Linked DNA regions of Coturnix japonica. The protein of the gene in region 1 binds, or shares a complex with, the protein of each later gene. Links are inferred from orthologs where the notes say so. Each region holds a gene or a part of one and is shown in the gene's direction. Other genes may lie near its edges.

Evidence for each region. The genes of interacting proteins can lie anywhere in the genome.
Region 2: QRSL1 (region 1) and GATC share a complex: the UniProt entries of both Homo sapiens proteins name them as parts of the heterotrimeric GatCAB amidotransferase (AdT) complex. The link is inferred for Coturnix japonica from reciprocal best matches to the Homo sapiens genes QRSL1 and GATC.

What each region holds. Positions count from the first base shown.
Region 1 is NC_029518.1:61,918,733-61,922,842, reverse strand, and holds the start of QRSL1 (glutamyl-tRNA(Gln) amidotransferase subunit A, mitochondrial), read left to right. Parts: upstream 1-1,310; 5' UTR 1,311-1,398; coding exon 1,399-1,422; intron 1,423-1,552; coding exon 1,553-1,712; intron 1,713-2,026; coding exon 2,027-2,125; intron 2,126-3,601; coding exon 3,602-3,698; intron 3,699-4,110. Other genes in the region: RTN4IP1 (reticulon-4-interacting protein 1, mitochondrial), read right to left, coding at 49-117, 311-462, 959-1,202. UniProt on the Homo sapiens protein: Allows the formation of correctly charged Gln-tRNA(Gln) through the transamidation of misacylated Glu-tRNA(Gln) in the mitochondria. The reaction takes place in the presence of glutamine and ATP through an activated gamma-phospho-Glu-tRNA(Gln).
Region 2 is NC_029530.1:8,238,685-8,242,120, reverse strand, and holds GATC (glutamyl-tRNA(Gln) amidotransferase subunit C, mitochondrial), read left to right. Parts: upstream 1-1,239; coding exon 1,240-1,419; intron 1,420-1,892; coding exon 1,893-2,059; intron 2,060-2,134; coding exon 2,135-2,238; intron 2,239-2,533; coding exon 2,534-2,589; 3' UTR 2,590-2,936; downstream 2,937-3,436. Other genes in the region: TRIAP1 (TP53-regulated inhibitor of apoptosis 1), read right to left, coding at 838-921, 1,095-1,241. UniProt on the Homo sapiens protein: Allows the formation of correctly charged Gln-tRNA(Gln) through the transamidation of misacylated Glu-tRNA(Gln) in the mitochondria. The reaction takes place in the presence of glutamine and ATP through an activated gamma-phospho-Glu-tRNA(Gln).

The sequences.
Region 1 (4,110 bases):
CATCAGTATTTACAGCTTTGGTTTTTCACCTGTTATCTGCAAGTTTACCTCATTAGCACTGGCTACCACAAACTCTGAGAGCGTGCCTTGTTTCCACGGAGGAATTGCTGCCCATACCTAAAAACAAACAGAAAACAACTACCAACATCTGTGCACAACATCAAACCTGTTATCAAAACGCAGTGAAGACAGCCCAGATTCAGAGCGCAAAAATGTAATTATTTTCTTACTATGGAAAGGCAGCTGAATAACTCATGGTGTATTTTAACTATGTGTTTTTAGAGAAAAAAAACCTGAGTAGTGGTATCACCTCATCTCCAGGTTTGAAATAAGACACACTAAGTCCACATTCCATGATAACACCTGAGACATCCCGACCAAGCGTTAGTGGGAACTCAGTATCCATGCTCTTGATTTTCAGGGGATCCCGCTTCATGTTTAACGCAGTTGCACCGTAACCACCTAGAAAATGTGAAATTAGCCGTTACAGACCTTGGTGGGATTTAAGGCCTGGTCAATGCCCACCATCTCACAGAATCACAGAATTGTAGGGGTTGGAAGGGACCTCTAGAGATCATCGAGTCCAACCCCCCTGCCAAAGCAGGCTCCCCACACCATGTCACACAGGTAGGCATCCAGGTGGGTCTTGAATATCTCCAGAGAAGGAGACTCCACCACCTCCCTGGGCAGCCTGTTCCAGTGCTCCGTCACCCTCACTATAAAGAAGTTCTTGCACAAATTCATGTGGAACTTCCTATGCTGTAGTTTCATCCCATTACCCCTAGTCCTATCCCCACGCACTGCTGAAAAGAGACCAGCCACACCACTATGGCTCCCACACCTCAGGTATTTATAAACCTGGATCAAGCCCCCTCTCAGCCTTCTTTTCTCAAGGCCCAACAGACCCAGTTCACTTAGTCCATCTCGCGGTTAGGGCGGCTCGTGCCCCGCCACTTACTTCTCATGCTAAGGTCTATGGGGTTCAAGCTGGCGGCGTGCACTTTAACAATGACCTCGTTGGGGTAGTGTATGACGGGGAACACCATGTCCCGGGTGAAGCGCAGCACCTCGTTGCGGCCGTACTGGTCGATAACCCACGAGGGCATGGCGGACCGTGCCCGTACAGAACCATGGATCCCACGTACCGGCGGTCGCTGCCCGCCTGGCCGCGCCGCACAGCGCAGCGCTGCCCGCACCAGCATGGCCGGCAGCAGCCCCCACCCGCGGCCCGGTGCCCGTCCTCACTCAGGTCCCAATGGGCGGCCGCCGTCTTGGCCGCTCCGCCAATAGAACTGCTCGGTGTTGCATCAAGATGGCGGCACTCAGGGGCTCAGTGCGGCAGCTGGACGGGACGGGAGAGGGGTCGTAGCGGTGTGTGGTGGAGCGGAGCGGGCCGCCATGCTGCGAGCTTCTCTGCGCCAGGTTAGCGGGCTCGGGGCGGGCTGTGTGCTGCGGGGCTGCCTCAAGGTGACCGCGGCTCGTCGGCCCTGCCGTGTCCCGGCGCTGGGTTGGGGTCTGGTAGCAGCTCTGACAGTCGGCGTTCCCCTTTCAGATCTCATTGGCGCTGAAGGAAGGACGGGTCACCCCCACAGAGCTCTGCCAGAGGTGCCTCGCTCTCATCAGGAGCACGCAGGTTCTCAATGCTTACATTACGGTAGCGGAAGAAACTGCATTAAAGCAGGCCGAGGAGGCGGAGGAAAGATACCGAAGAGGTACGTCAGGCTGTTTGTAAGGGTGGCAATCGTGGTGGAAGGGCGCTTTTATTGTACATTGCATCTGCTGTGTGTGCCGGGTGGGCACTCCTGGCTCTTGGGATGCAGTGGGTGCAGGCAGCACCAGGGTAAAATTGACTTACATAGCACACTGATGTAATCCCTGTGGTCTTTGCAATAATTCGAATCCCCCCTGTGGCACAAGTGGTAGAAGTGCCGCTCTGCTACACAGAGGCTCGAATCCCGGGGGTTGGACTCGATGATCTCTAAGGTCCCTTCCAACCCACACCAGACTGTGATAATTCCTAATGCAGGTCAGCCACTGGGTGAGCTGGATGGAATTCCCATTGCAGTGAAGGACAACTTCAATACAGCTGGCATTGAGACAACATGCGCATCAAACATGCTAAAAGGTACCGTATGAAAGGTGCTGTAGAGCTTTTAAAGTGAAATTGGAGCTCTGGCTGAAGAGTGAGCAAAGCCTTCCGCAAGTCAGGCTCTTCTCCTGAGAGGTTTAGCGGAGTGAAATTTTCCATAGATCCAAACATTTTCAAAAATGAGCTGAGCTGATTTGAGGAGCTGTGTTTATCTGATTTCCTCTGTCAAGATCATCTAGTATTACAGGTGGTATGGGAAACTGTTGGTCACAGCCTGAACCTCTGATTAACCATCTGAGCCAAGCAACGAGTCAGCTGTGGGAGCACAGGTGAAGGTAATTCAGCTGTGCTACCTGAAGGGGTAGAGCCTGGGTCCACCTCTCCTAGATCTCATTTAAGGGCTGACCACCACTAAGGTACCATCTCTTTCTGGAGATCACTCCTGTGTGGAGTTTTACAATGTGCCTCAACAGTGGTGGGCATTTGTCATTTATCTTCTTCTTATTATATGACCTCCGTTTATCCATCAGCTTTATAACTGTACAATTGTAATTGTATAAGGGTGTATCTTTTTCTAATGCAAGTGTATTTTCTCATTTTATTCATGTAGCTACGCTGCCATTACTAATACAGTACTTGGTTTTACAGAGGAGAGCAGTCACTAGTGTTTGCTGTTGTGTCCAGCGAAACACAGTCTTTTGTGTTCTGTTTGCATCTATTGCCTTACGTGGTGCTTTCGTATGGCTGTAGGAAGAGTAACTGTTAACAATTCCCTATATTCCCACTTTGTAGAACAGGCTTGTATGACTTTAATTCGTGAACATGTTTGAAGCTTGTTTCTATTACCACTGAAAGGAAATTTTTCAGACACTCTAATGTTTCCATTAGGGTTGAGCATCCATTGTGCAGTTGAAAGCGGGGGGTGGAGAAGTCACTGTTATTATTCACAGAAGTTGGTTGCAACCCAGTATCTCATGGAAGTGGCACAGAACTCATAGTTTATATGCAGTCAAAATGGCTGAAGGTGCATAGAGTTGCTTACAGGTTAGCCAACTTGTGTTTCAGCTTGTGACTGATTATATGCTCCCACATCTCCTGGTAATGGGAATGATTTGAGATAGCTTAGCACTTGTCTGTAAAGAGCTGTTCCTCATTTCTTCTCATTTTAGACCGCTTCTGCAAATTGCCCAAATGCCATAATTTGCTGCTGTTGTGGTAACTTGTTTGTGTAAAGGTTTAACTTCACGTTCTGGAAATGGACAATCCAGGGTTACTGAACTGTAAATTGTGAAGGGAAAAAACATACCATTACAGACAAAACAGTATTTAGTTTACTTTTGCTAAATGTTGAGAATTACCCATATTGTGTATTGGAGCAAAATTTGGGCACTTGTGCAGCGGTGACTTTTATGCACCAATAGTGACATATTTGAGGTGCTTGGAAGAGGAGCTACTTCTAGAAATCAACTGTATCTCATCAACCACTCCCTTAACTGTTTTGCTTGCTTTCAGGTTATGTTCCCCCTTACAATGCTACAGTGGTTCAGAAATTACTGGATCAGGGCGCTGTGCTTTTAGGAAAAACAAACCTAGATGAATTTGCAATGGGGTGAGTGATGTTTATGATTTTTAACATGTGATTCCACATTAAACAGATTCCACACCATCTGTTCCGATCTGTCCATAATCCTTAAACTCTTCTTTCTATCAAGTTAGAAAATAACGCACGCTGATCTGCAAAGAGAATTTAGAGTTGCTTGAATTTCTCAGATATTGCATGAACGTTTTTACTGCTGGGTAAATGATCTACATGTCAGTTTTTTATGAACATAGACTTCAACTATGGCTGTGTTTGAGGGGAAGGACTAGTATAACCTTTGCAGAAAGCAGAGGACGAGCAGACTTCCATATCCAGTAGCAAGTAGATCTGGTTACTGCACCAGCTATTTGTTGCCTTTTTTTTCCTCTTACCAGTGGTTTCTACCCTTAACTAATTATTGTTATGACCTTGATGACAGTTA
Region 2 (3,436 bases), on another chromosome or scaffold:
TTCAGCATCACTGTCACTCAACACTTTGATTATCTCAATCAAAGATGTAACAGGAGTTGTGGCCAACCTGGTGCTGTGTGGTCGTGTGTGCAAAGACAGCCAGGCCTGCGCAGTTCTACTGCAGTGACACATTACATTACAGGAGCAAGAACTCAGATTCAGGATCACTTCAGTACCTCGGAAAAGGCCAAAGAAAGTGGCCTCTGCTTTCACTGTTTCTTCAGTTCTGTTGCAGGCTGCCTCTGTCCCTCCTGGAGGTCATAATCAGACGTTACCAAACAGTCATCCACCTGAACAAAATATAACTTCTTACATTTATTTCATTTAAGCTATTGCAAATCCAGCAAAAGTGCTTTTACACCATCTCTGTTACTGGCAAAACCTGTGCTTTAGGCCCTTGGTGTTTGGGATCATATAAACCAGCCTCCTTCCACCCAAATTCAGCACCACAGAGATAAGACAGAGTAAACCAACCTTCTTGTTAGACGCTTCCTAACATCATAAATAAGCAAGATAAACGGGTCAGAGATTAACTACAGGTTCAACATCTCCCATTATAAAGTACATTCGACAGAAGTTAAATCATCTTTTTGCACTGTTATAAGCCGAACCACCACCACGATTCATTGGGAAGGAGGCAGCAGGCAGCACACCGTGAAGTCTTTTGGCTCGCGGCAGTTTGTTTCTACAGGCACAGAGGAAACCCCACTTCCTACAGTGCTACATGGAGGAAGCAGCTCAGCAAAGCGCTGTCCCGGTGCATCCATCCTGGCTGCTGGGTGGCCGCCGTTCCCAGCCCGTGGGCTCGTATCACTGACTCCCCGCATTCAGCTGAAGTCAGGAGGAGTTTTCAGCTTTCCCTTTGCTCGGGCCCATGAACTCCAGCCCTTCGATGGGGATGTCCTTCTCCTTGATGGCTTTCTGGGAAGAACAACAACAAAACGGTTACGTTGGAAGCACGTTTCAAACGGCACCGAGAAACAAAAGCTTCTGTTCACAACGTCATCTACAAACAGCAGCGTCAGCACCGCCCCGCACGGGCTGCAACGGCACGATGCTGGGCTGTGAAGGCGGCGGCTCGGCAGGGCCCGCACCTGCACGCACAGCTGGTAGCGCTTGAAGAGCTGCCCGCACGGGTCCCCGTCGTTCTCGCCCTTGAGGAACTTCTCTGCGAACCAGCGGTTGAAGCACTGGTCGTACTCGCGCTTCAGCTCGGTACACGCCTCCCCCACGCTATTCATGGCGGCACGGCCCCTCCGACACCGCTACGACGCGATTCCGGCGCGTAGCGATGACGCCACAAACCGCTTCCGGCGGCGCGAGATGTGGGTGCCGGGGTTATGGCGGGGACTGCGGGGCGGGACGGTGAGAGCACTCAGGATCAGCGTGTGCACAGCCAGCGCCGCGCCGACACCGCAGGTCAGACAGAGCACGGGGCCGGGCCGTAACGTACCATGCCATGCCATACCCATACCTATAACCATCACCATACCATGCCATACCATACCATACCATACCCATACCTATACCCATACCCATACCTATACCCATACCCATGCCATACCATACCATACCATACCATACCATACCATACCATACCATACCATACCATACCATACCATACCATACCATACCATAACCATATCATAACCATACCATACCATAACCATACCATAGCATAACCATACCATAGCATAACCATACCATAGCATAACCTAACCATACCCTACCCTAACCATACCATACCATACCATACCATACCATACCATACCATACCATACCATAACCATACCATTACCATACCATACCATACCATACCATACCATACCATACCATACCATACCATTAGTGGAGGTAACGGTTTGAGGAGCCCCATCTGTGCTCTCTTGCAGGACGGCGTCACGATGGAGGTTCTCGACCACCTGGAGCGCCTGGCCCTGGTGGATTTCCGCGATGCCGACGGCGTGGAGCGGCTGCGGGACGCGGTGCGATTCGCGGAGCGGCTGCGGGAGGTGGATACGGAGGGTGTCCAGCCCATGGACTCGGTGCTGGAGGACAGGTAAGGGCCGTGTTGGTGCCCCGTGCACATCCAGCCCCAATGTGCTCCATGCAGACCTCCGGCCGCTGTCCTCAGGTGTCTTTATCTGCGGGAAGATGACGTTACCGAGGGGAACTGCACGGCACAGCTGCTGAAAAACGCCACGGAGAAAGTCGAGGAATACTTCGTAGCCCCACCAGGTACCATAGCTTCTATAGAACTTTTGCATCGTGCTCGAGTTAACCCAACACCTTCCAAAGTAAGGGATGACTCTAATCATCTGTACTAACAAACCAAACCTGGAGCAGGCTGCAAGCTATTGAGCCTAAAGCAGTAGAGGGGTTAATGTTACCTTACAGCTCCTGCCCAGCACTGCTTACAGGAAGGCAAACAGAACTTCCTGACTTCCCTTACATGCTCACAAATCAGACTGCAGTAGCACTGTACGTTAAGCTGCACTGCTCACTGGTCTCTCACAATTCTCTTTTCTTCCAGGTAACATCCCTTTACCAGAGATGGAAGAACGAGATACTTTCCTGAAGGGCTCATAGAGACAGAACCCAAACGCTGTTTCTATATTTCATTTGGGATTACTGCGCTTTGTGTGGGGACAGCTGAAATACCCCAGGAGGGCAGAAACTCCTCCTTAGATCAGAACTGAGTGTCACCTACTTTACACAGTGCGTGTTCTGTATCTGTTTGTAGGGAAAAAAAGTCACTCCCACTTTGCTTCTCTGTGTTTCTGTGTAATGAACAACACCAGCTTTGTGTAAGCGTTCCTTGGCAGAGATGCTAAACAGCCATAATTGTAATTATTTTTCCTATGGAGTCTATATTCTGCATCCCTACAAACAAGACGTGATTAATAAACCAAATCTCTATGCCAATATCAAATTCACTGCAAAGCTTGAATATTAGAGCTTGTGTCAGGTGTGTCAAGAATCAGACCCTGCAAACCCTCCCTTAAGCACAGCCTGGTGAGAGGACAGACCGCCTGATGCTTGTTCCCTGCAGCCTCAACTGTCTTACATGTTAAAAACACATATTTCCTTAATGAAGGGGTTTGTAACAATGTCCTCGCTAATGAGGGAATTACAGCCCTGACTCAGATCCCCACAGCTTGCACATTAGGAGCCCTTGCATAGGGTGGATGAGCTGCCTATGGGGCAGCGTGTTGGTGTCTCTGCTCCCCCCAGCCTGTGTAATGAGTTGGTGCTGCCCTGTGGGATGGCTGAGCTGCACCCAGGGGGAGGAGGCACCCCTGGCTCATATCCTTACGTTGTTCTGCTACAAAACAATTGAAAACAACAGGTAAGTGAGGCAAACATAACACATCTCTGTCAAACAACTGTTCTTCTCAGTGGTTTGTTGCAGCCAAAAGCAAAAGGTCTGTTTGGT